Ovis aries: one gene and its partners. The protein of the gene in region 3 purifies or fractionates together with the protein of the main gene of each other region. This does not show direct contact. Links are inferred from orthologs where the notes say so. Each region holds a gene or a part of one and is shown on either strand. Other genes may lie near its edges. The genes, in order: RBX1, APEX2 and CUL9.

Region 1 (3,843 bases), on a different chromosome or scaffold from region 3:
TAGTCATTCATTCTTAGGTCCAGCCCCTTCTGTGTCCCTTACTCCTTTCAGAGGACACAGCCCCCTAGCCCTCACAAACGTTCCATGACCTAAGCAGAAGCTGGAGTCGGCTGCTCTGCAACCAAGGGTCTTTATGAACACCCAGGCAGAACTCTGCAAATATGTGACGCCAGCTGTGTGAAAACCATTCTTCTGCATCGCTTAAGTGTTCCTGCAGTGTGAATGACCACCTGAAAGGGGTTTAAAGGAGGTGATTTCTGCCGAGGGTGGAAGGAACATCGACGGCAGCAGCCACCTGGCCCTGAGCGACTGCACTGCTGGCGGCCAAGTGGGGAAGCTGGGTTCCACCCAGGTTGGACCTCAAAGTTCTTATTACTAAGCTAGAGGTTCTCAAACTTTTGAGTCTCAGGATCCCCTTATGATCTTACACACTGAAGAAACCAAAGAGTTTTTATGGGGGTTGCATCCACAGATATTTACCACAATGGAAATCAAACTGAGAAATTTAAAAGATTTTAAAAGAACAAAAACCCATCACGTTAACATAAATATTTTTATTCAAAGTAACTAGTTTTCAAAACAAAAGTTAGAAGAGTGGCACTGTTTTACATTTTTGCAAATCTCTTTTATATCTGACTTAGCAGAAGACAGCTGGATTTGCTGCTCTCTTTTTTCATTCAATACGTTGCTTTGTCTGAAGGAAAAAAAGAAAAATTGGCCTTGTACAGACACGCAGCCGGAAAAGGAACTTCGTGAACCTCCTGAAAGTGTTTCCATTACTCCCGCAAGTCCTCAGCACACACTTTGAGAATCACTGCAGTAAATTAACCCGCCTCTCAGTTAAAGACTAAGAGACTGAAGTAGTGTTAGAACTGGCAGTTCTGTCCACAGCCAAGGCATCTTAAACAAATTACAAAGGGTGGTGGTGAGGAAGGGAAACCTGAATTCTCCCGTTAACTCTAAATGACACTGTTTTCCAATTTGAGTTCACAGATTACTCCATCGCCAGCCAAGATGACATATTAATTTTTTTTCAAGTTAACTTTTCTAAACTAAAATGAGAAAGCAACATGTCATACACAAAGTTAACACCTGTACAGCGTTCTCACAGTTTATAAGGCCTCTTTCTGTGCCCACATGATCCTGTTTAGTCCTTAGCAGCCACTTCACGGAGGAGGAAGAGCTCGGAGCAGACAGACCACTCGCCCAAGATCATCAGCAGCAGCCAGGCTGTGGACCAGGCTTCCTTGAGACCAAGCGACGTGCTCACAGGACGATCCTGCTTTGGCTCTGATGAACAAACACCTCACTTTCAAAACCTAGCCTTCCACCCTAGAAAGGGGCGGGAGGCCCTTTACTTGTGTTCACTTTTTGCACATACACAAAAGACAGCGTCTGTTCTAGAATCCAACTGGATTTTATTTGACACAGAATACAGTATGGCTGCCAGAATAGCAAACTGAAAAGACAAAGCAGAAGAGACACAGTTCTATCTAATTTATAATAAGTAACAGGAGGGCAAGTCATTCAGTGGATAACAAAAACAGTTGAGCTTGATGGAAGAATTCTTTTTCTAGTGCCCATACCTGGAAGACAAAGTAAATTATTAATTCATTCCTTATCGTGATTCCCTGTTTGAGACTGTAACACCTGCTAAAAATATATCCACCAATCTGGTTAAAACTTTGAAGATTGGGTTTCAACCCTTGTCTCTGCCCCTTTCAGCCTACCGGCCTCCTGTAACATTGTCCCTACCACCCTCTTCATAGTGATGGTCCCCCACTCAACTGCACCCACCTGACTCTTTCCTGGTGCCAGGCAGATACTGGGCAGTGACAGGGAGGAGTCACGGCTAATGGCTGTGAAAGGGAGCTGCACTTGATGGCCAGTATGCAGCTAAGACAGCTTGAATCCTCCGCCCTCTTCCCTGTGGGCCGCCTCTTCCCCTCAACTCCCATACTTGGGCTAGTTTAGGGTAAGACCCCTACAGAGGATAGTAACCGAACAGCCTTCAGTGTCAAAATCTATCACCAGTTCCAATTACAGCCCTGAGTCTGCTGAGCACCACCGAAAGAACTGTCGAGAAACTAGCTATGGATCTCAGGTCCTTTCTGATTTCCTCAGAGGCCAAAACTTGGCTCCAGAAAGATTATAACCAATGGTAGGACATTTTTTCCACATGTAAGATTTCTTGAACACAGAATCCATTATTATCTTAATCTTTGGCCATGGTTCTTAGTGGGTAGTTCGCCTCTAATGAAAATACTTTGCTACACAGATGGAGACCAGGGCACCAGAATTCTGCATCACTGTTGCCATCATCCTGAAGGGCTGCTAGATTCTTTAAGTACTCCTTATAAGAAATTCGCTTAAAAATTCCCTAAAAAAGTCCTCACAGGGTAGAGCTCCAGCTTGTTAGTGAGAATAACCTAGAAGTTATCCATCAGTTTAAAGCATGCTGAAATGAAATTTGCTTCTTATGAATTTGTTTTCCCAGGGCGCTCATAACCACAGCCAGGCAAAGTCACCAGCTGGATAAAGCGACAGTGTCAAAGCCTAGCAGGAGGATTCGTCACCCCCCCACTTCTTAGGCTCAGCCCTGGGCACGTGTATGGGCTACGTGAGACAGTTTTGATCCAAGATGGCACCCTGAGCCTGCTCCACGGCACAGTCAATTACAAAGGTCTCTTGAGAACTTCGAAAATCCCCCTTTCCATTAAAAATTTGATAAATTAACTGAAAATTCAACAGATAAAAAAGCATTTCACAGACAAATACAACAGGCATAAAAACATATGAAAAGCAGCCCAACTTTACTCAAAGTTTTAAAAAATACAATTGAAAACTAATTTTCACCTGTCAGTAGCTAAGATGAAAACGTCTGATAACAAAGCACTGGCAAGAAATGGAGGAGGAAGTCTTCTGCTTCACTGTTGGTAGGGGCTGTGAATTAGTACATACTCTTGGGAAAGGAAAAAAATCTGACACTATCAAAAATAAAAACATACATACTCTTAAACCAGAAATTCCTCTTTTAGGAATTACTAGTACAGACTGATCATTTGAAGTTTTGAAAATTTGCACGCCGTGTATTACTTACACGCTACTACAATTAACAGCAGCAACAATAATGATTTAGTTGAGATAGCCACAGATGCTGTATCAGAATTAATCCCTGTGAGATAAACCAATGAAACATGATATAATTCTAGCCCAAAGCAAAGACAGATGACATTAGTTAGCCCCTGGAGCCTTATTCTTGATGTGATTGTGGAAATATTTAATAGCTTGCAAAATGAGAATTTGCAAGCTTCTACTACTACTTCCAAAGACCCTACCTAGATGGCTGGGAAACTCCAGGCTGCAAGTTTCTAATGCTGGTTCACCTTATACACTTTCCACAGAGACGCGTCCTCATCTAACTAACCGAAAGCTACTTTATGAACCAGCCATGTTCTATGTCTTCATCTTCTAAAACTGTGCACCCTCCAGCTTGACGTGGGTCCAAGAACAGTACTGACCACAAAGCCCAACCTTACATACGATGTCGAAACAGCCGGGGACACCTACTTTTGGAATTCCCACTCTCTGTTGTCCAACGGACACACCTGCCGTGTTTTGAGCCAGCGAGAGATGCAGTGGAAGTGGAAAGCATGCTGGAAGAAAAGATACATTTTATTAAAAATAATTCTGTGCAGGCTCAGCCGTCTACGGACAATATATCTCAAGGGGAGCAGGGTGGTGATACACAGCGGCTGGAGAAGAACCATGGAAGGCAGCACACAATGGGAGACAAAAGGTCTACAAGGGGTCACACCCGGCTAGGTGCCAGGCCGCGGCCCA
Region 2 (2,819 bases), on a different chromosome or scaffold from region 3:
GGGAATCGTGTTAGTATTGTCCTTCTCTACCCTCCCTTTTCCCATTCAGTTGTCCAGTGAGTACTGTTGATTCTAGCTCCAAATCATCTCTTAATTTCGTTTTATCTCCCCTGGCACCACCCTAGTCTAAGTAACCATCATATCTTGCTTATGTGGACTATGATAGTTATCTCCTATTGGTACTCTGGTCCACAGTCTCATTGCCTCTCCAGTCTTCTGGGTACACTGTTCCCTCCCTCCACAGGCCCATTGCATAAGTTGTTATCTCAATTTGTAACACCTTCTGCCTAGGTTATTCTTGCTCAATCTTCACTTCTCAGCTCCAGATCACTTGCTAAAAGAAAGCCTTGTTGGTCCCCAAGACTAGATCAGGGTCCCACTTTGTCACTCATATCACACCTGGCACATAGTCAGTGTTCTTTGAACATTTGTTGCATTGAATGGATGAGTAAGTGGATTGGGTGGATGATGAATTAGGAATCAGGGCCAAAGGAAGTATTCAGTTGTGAATCCTTTGAGCCCGTCAAATACCAAAACAAATACCAAAATAGTACTAAAGGGTTTACATGAAAAGGCAACAGTCTTAACTCCTAATTGTAGCCCAACTTCCTAGAGGTAACCATTCTACACATCTTACTTTCCATTCCCTTGGTGAGCAATTCTGAGAATTGCTTTGATTAACCAACAGGAAGCTTTCAGGCCCAGGATTTATGGCCCAGTGCAAAGTAGATGTAGCTTGATGCAGAAGTAAAAAGAAGCATGAGCTTTTAAATCAGTAAGGATGCAAAGTGAATCCCAGCTCTGCCAGTTCCAGACTGTATGACCTTGAGCATTCTTCTTTGGAACAGCCACATTTTCTTGTCTGTAAAATGAAGCAGTTAGTCCCTTACAGTTCTAGGCATCTAACTCTGCCTCTTTCTTTGTCTTCTTCCCTTTTCCCCAGGAATGCTTTGAAGAGGACCCAGGGCGCAAGTGGATGGATGGTTTGCTCAGTAACCTGGGGTGTGAGAGTGGCTCCCACATGGGACCCTTCATCGATAGCTACCGCTGCTTCCACCCAAAGCAGAAGAGGGCCTTCACCTGTTGGTCGACAGTCAGTGGTGCCCGCCATTTGAACTATGGCTCCCGGCTTGACTACGTGTTGGGGGATAGGACCCTGGTCATAGACACCTTTCAGGACTCCTTCTTGCTGCCTGAGGTGATGGGCTCTGATCACTGCCCTGTGGGTGCAGTCTTAAGTGTGTCCTCTGTGCCAGCAAAACAGTGCCCACCTCTGTGCACCTGCTTCCTCCCCGAGTTTGCAGGTACCCAACTCAAGATCCTACGATTCCTGGTTCACCTCAAACAAGATCCTGTGTTCAAGCAATCAGCACTACAGCCCAGCAATCAAACACAGGTATACATGCGCCAAAACAAAGCCCGTGTGCGCTCAACTAGGTCCCGGTCAAGTAAAACTGTCTCTAGTAGAGGCCAAAAAAACCTGATGAGCTACTTCCAGCCATCCTCCAGTCGCCCCCAAACTTCTAACTTGGATCTTCCTAGCCTGGGCACCCTTAAGACCCCAAAGACCTCAGAAGAGGACATGATGGCCAATGTGGTGGAGGGGCAGGCCAAGGCTTCAGAGGCCAAGGATGAAAAGGAGATAAGGACCTCATTCTGGAAATCTCTGCTGGGAGGACCCTCGCCCATGCCCCTCTGTGGGGGACACAGGGAGCCATGTGTAATGCGAACTGTAAAGAAGCCAGGACCCAACCTGGGCCGCCACTTCTACATGTGTGCCAGGCCCCAGGGTCCTCCCACTGACCCCTCTTCCCGCTGCAATTTCTTCCTCTGGAGCAGGCCCAGCTGAACCAACGCAGGCCTAGAGATGTCTGACATAGTCTACCTTGTATGGTCTGAGGCCAACTTCCTCCTAAGCTGCCTCCTCCTTCCTCAAGACCTCCTTTCTTCCTCCTCTTTCTCCTCCTCCTCTTCCACCTTCCTCAAGGACCCTTCCCCTTTCCTCTTTTTCTTCTTCCTCTAAAGCCTCCTTTTTTCTCTTTTCTTCCTGCTTAGTTCCTCCTCATTGGTGAGCTTCTTGTGCTTAATGCTTGTGACCCAGTCCCCCACCCCACTTCCCACCTTCCTCTCAGAAGTACACCAGAAGCAGTTGCCCCAGGAAGTTGTAATTTTAAACCTCTTCTTACCTTGCCAGAAAATGTATCTGTGCCTAAATAAAGTCCATGTCTTTGTTGTAGTGCACCATGTCATATGGACATTTTGGATGTGCCCCATAAAGTTGCGTTAGAGATGTTATCTCAGTCCCGGGTTTGAACTCCTAAGGAGAAGTGATGAAGGAAGAGTGGTGCTCACCATAAAGGTTCTCTGTTTAGTTGGGGTTTCCTGTACTGCTGAGGTTGGGTCATCAAGGGAGATGGGTATGGTGGGACAGAAAGCTCAGGTGGGCTGTATGAAAGTGTTAATCACTCAGTCATGTCCGACTCTTTGTGCCCCCATGCAGTGTAGCCTGCTAGGCTCTTCTGTCCATGGGATTCTCCAAGCAGAATACTGTAGTGGGTTGCTGTTCCCTTCTCCAGGGGATCTTCCTGACCCAGTGATTGAAGTTGGATCTCCTGCATTGACAGGTGGATTCTTTACAGTCATGAGTCATCAGGGAAGCCCCAGGCTGTGTAGCTTTAAACCAATGTTTCCCAACTGATGGGTCTCACAGCTGCCACAGATGTGTTAAAGGGTGGAAAGAAATGGATCCCTCAAACCTAGAGTTGCCAGACAGGACCAGGAATTAATTGTACAAGTATTAGGAAATATTGCCTCCTAGG
Region 3 (3,651 bases):
ATAGTGGAAACAGTGTAAGACTTTATTTTGGGGGGCTCCAAAATCACTGCAGATGGTGACTGCAGCCATGAAATTAAAAGACGCTTACTCCTTGGAAGAAAAGTTATGACCAACCTAGATAGCATATTCAAAAGCAGAGACATTATGTTGCCGACTAAGGTCTGTCTAGTCAAGGCTATGGTTTTCCCAGTGGTCATGTATGGATGTGAGAGTTGGACTGTGAAGAAGGCTGAGCACCGAAGAATTGATGCTTTTGAACTGTGGTGTTGGAGAAGAGTCTTGAGGGTCCCTTGGACTGCAAGGAGATCCAGCCAGTCCATTCTGAAGGAGATCAACCCTCGGATTTCTTTGGAAGGAATGATGCTAAAGCTGAAACTCCAGTACTTTGGCCACCTCATGCGAAGAGCTGACTCATTGGAGAAGACTCTGATGCTGGGAGGGATTAGGGGCAGGAGGAGAAGGGGACGACAGAGGATGAGATGGCTGGATAGCATCACTGACTCGATGGACGTGAATCTGAGTGAACTCTGGGAGTTGGTGATGGACAGGGAGGCCTGGCGTGCTGCGATTCATGGGGTCGCAAAGAGTCGGCATGACTGAGCGACTGAACTGAACTGAACTGCCTAGGGGAGGGTGGAGTGAGGTTAGAGAACTTAGAGGTTAGAGAGCTAAGGAATCCTTCCCTGGGGATAAGGCAGAAGCTGGGAGGGTCTAGGAGGCAGGAAGTGTGCAAGGCCCCAGTGGGAGGTGGCCCACCTCCTGTTGCTGTCCCCAGGCCCTTGGTGTCTGCTCCTTCCTGAAGTACATGCCTTTCTGTTGGCAGAGCCTGGGTAAGAAGGCCCTGGGTGAAATCTCTGTGCCTGTGACCATGGCAGAGAGTCTACTACAGGTTCTCAGGGATCGGTTTGAGGGCAGCACCCTCAGCGACCTGCTCAACTCCCAGATCTACACCAAGTACAGGCTGCAGCCCGACGCTCTGAGTGGCTCGTCATCTTCACAAAATCACTCCAGTACCCCAGATCCTGAAGAGGAGTCGAAGTCAGAGGCCACCTTCTCAGAGGAGGAAACTGAGTCCCCCAAAGTGAAGGCTGAGCCCTCCAAGGCAGAGGCGGAGCCGGTCAAGGGAAAAACCGAGCCGCCCATGGCACAGAGCGATTCACAGCTGTTCAACCAGCTTCTGGTGACTGAGGGGATGGCTCTCCCCTCCGGGATGAAGGAGGCAGCCAGTGGTGAGTCAGGTGCTGGGAGGGGAGGGCAGAGAGGTGGGAGCAAGTCCTGGGTGCCCCCCAGAGAAGTGGGTGGTCAGTGGGGAGGGCACGCTGTGGTGCGAGATCACTTCTGAGTGAGAAGGTGCGTTGGGAGCTTGCATCCATTTTCCTTCCTTGGACCTTGATTATGTACAGTCTGTCACTGCTGCCTTCCTTCAGGGTCCCTGGAAAAGGAGGGTCCGTTTTCTAGAGTATCGTCATCTTCATTGCCTGACTATTAAATCCCTCACACAGAGTTGGGAACGTTCTGGATCCAAGCTACAGTAGTGAACAGGGTGTTCAAATGTCAGTAGGATAATTGGGCTTGACCGTTAGAGGGTTCCAAGGTGAAGATGCCGCAGTTGTTTTTTTTTAAGCCGCCGCCTTTCCCTCACAACTTTCAGAAATGATTAGAGCCTTGCGGGGTCCTGGGCCACGCAGCTCCCTGGACCAGTACGTGGCAGCGGTTGTGGCCACTGTGCAGATCTCCAGCGTGGACACCAGCCTGCAGCTCTCAGCGCTCTGCGCTCTCTCCCAGGCTGTGGAGGAGGTCACAGAGCGAGACCACCCTCTGGTCCATCCTGACAGATTCCTGAGGTTAGAACCCTGGGCAGGGAAGTGGGGGTTACAGTGTAAGCTGTCAGCTGGGGGAGGATAGTGGTAGGGAGGGAAGGAGCTAGGAGATCAAGAGTTAGAAAGGCTGGGGGAAAGAAGGGCCAGCTTGAGGCATAACTGAGCAGGAAGGTGGACTGTATGATGGTTAATATTCTGGGAGCACTTGTTCTGTGCCAGGCCCTTGTGCTTAAAGTTTTATAAGCATTCTCTCTTTAAATCCTCCCATCTGCAGAGGAAAACCTGATGCTATTCTTATCCACCGTGTGGATCGGGGACTGAGGCTTAGAGAATTTAAGTAACTCGCCCAGTATGACAGGTAGTAGAATCAGGATTCAAATCGAGATCCTTTTGGCTTTTGAGCATTTTTTTTTTCCTCCCTCTCTACTTTCTTCCTATTAAATTAAGAAATAATTAATGAATTAATTTGGCCACATCAGATCTCAGTTGTGTCGCGCAGGGTCTTCGTTGCGTCATGCAGGATCTTTCATGTGCGGGGCATGGACTCTCTAGTTGTGGTTTGCAGGCTTAAAGCCCCTTGGCGTGTGGGATCTTAGTTCTCCGACCAGGGGTCGAACCCACGTCCCCTGCATTGCAAGGCAAATTCTTAACCACTGGACCACCGGGGAAGTCCCCTAAAATTTTTAAAAAATACTTGTTAGTTACAAATAGTACACCATTGTGTTCCTTTTTTAAAAGATCCAGAGAATGAAAAGTCAAAGTCCCTTTTTACTGCTGTGGTCACACATCCAAGCACGTATCCTTCAGACCTTCTAGAGGCTTACATTTGCTAGTGTATTTTGTGCATTTGAGTTTTAGTATATGTGATCACACTCTGTCTGTTTCTGCAGCTGTCTGCCTGCACGCAGTGTGTCTGCATGCGGTATGTCCATCCGCGTGGTGCTGCCTCGTTCTCACTGCTGCCTTGGACTCTGCAATATGATTATACTCAAAATCAAATGTAGCCTGAGTTTGTAAAATTTTACTTTCTTGAAGCATATAGTTGATTTACAATGTTATGTGAATTTCTGCTGTACAGCATAGTGACTCGATTGTATATTCTTTTTCATATTCTTTCCCATTATCTTTTATTTGAAGATACTGAATATGGTTCCCTGTGCTATACAGTAGGACTCTGTTGTTTAACCGTCCTATATATAATAGCTTGCAGCTGCTACTCCCAAACTCCCTGTCCATCCCTCTCCCACCCTCCTCCCCCATTTGGCAACTACACGTCTGTTCTCTCACATACAGTGTTCTAAGGGATCTATTTTTCTTCACATCTGCCAGCGACTGGCTATTATCATTTTCAAAAATCTATCAGGTTGACAACATTTTAAAGTGATTGGTATCTTTTTGTCTTTAATTTCTTGAGAAGATAGGCATATTTGCATGCGCTTCTTGTATTCTGCTATAAATATTTTTATCCTTTGCCCATTGTCTTATTGGGTCTTTGTCTTTTTTTATTGATTTGCAGACATTCTGGATATTAATTCATTATTGCTGTTCCAAATATTGTCTCTTCTATAATCATATTTATTTTCTGAATATAAAATAATATATATGATCCCTATAAGAAAATGAAAGTTATAAGAATAACGATCATCTGAAAAGCCTCTATGCAGGGATAGTCACTGTTAACATTTTAGTAAACATCCTTACGTATTTCTTTGTTTATTCGTGTGCATCACCTCTGTATATTAACTTGTTTACAGTAAATCAGGGCTCCAGAGAGGGGGATATATATTTAAAATACGTTTGGTTCACATTGTAGTCATCGTAAGGCCCATGG

What was found.
Region 1: the proteins of CUL9 (region 3) and RBX1 purify together in Homo sapiens (affinity purification with mass spectrometry; 5 studies listed by BioGRID and IntAct, with this or other methods). This does not show direct contact. The link is inferred for Ovis aries from reciprocal best matches to the Homo sapiens genes CUL9 and RBX1.
Region 2: the proteins of CUL9 (region 3) and APEX2 purify together in Homo sapiens (affinity purification with mass spectrometry; 3 studies listed by BioGRID and IntAct, counting the BioPlex papers as one, with this or other methods). This does not show direct contact. The link is inferred for Ovis aries from reciprocal best matches to the Homo sapiens genes CUL9 and APEX2.

The regions. Positions count from the first base shown.
Region 1 is NC_056056.1:217,992,956-217,996,798, reverse strand, and holds the end of RBX1 (E3 ubiquitin-protein ligase RBX1), read right to left. Parts: intron 3,657-3,843; coding exon 3,571-3,656; intron 2,931-3,570; coding exon 2,867-2,930; 3' UTR 2,857-2,866; intron 1,587-2,856; coding exon of another isoform or gene 1,524-1,586; 3' UTR 535-1,523; downstream 1-534. UniProt on the Homo sapiens protein: E3 ubiquitin ligase component of multiple cullin-RING-based E3 ubiquitin-protein ligase (CRLs) complexes which mediate the ubiquitination and subsequent proteasomal degradation of target proteins, including proteins involved in cell cycle progression, signal transduction, transcription and transcription-coupled nucleotide excision repair.
Region 2 is NC_056080.1:53,047,590-53,050,408, forward strand, and holds the end of APEX2 (DNA-(apurinic or apyrimidinic site) endonuclease 2), read left to right. Parts: intron 1-943; coding exon 944-1,849; 3' UTR 1,850-2,241; downstream 2,242-2,819. UniProt on the Homo sapiens protein: Functions as a weak apurinic/apyrimidinic (AP) endodeoxyribonuclease in the DNA base excision repair (BER) pathway of DNA lesions induced by oxidative and alkylating agents.
Region 3 is NC_056073.1:16,785,704-16,789,354, forward strand, and holds part of CUL9 (cullin-9), read left to right. Parts: intron 1-823; coding exon 824-1,229; intron 1,230-1,651; coding exon 1,652-1,844; intron 1,845-3,651. UniProt on the Homo sapiens protein: Core component of a Cul9-RING ubiquitin-protein ligase complex composed of CUL9 and RBX1. The CUL9-RBX1 complex mediates ubiquitination and subsequent degradation of BIRC5 and is required to maintain microtubule dynamics and genome integrity.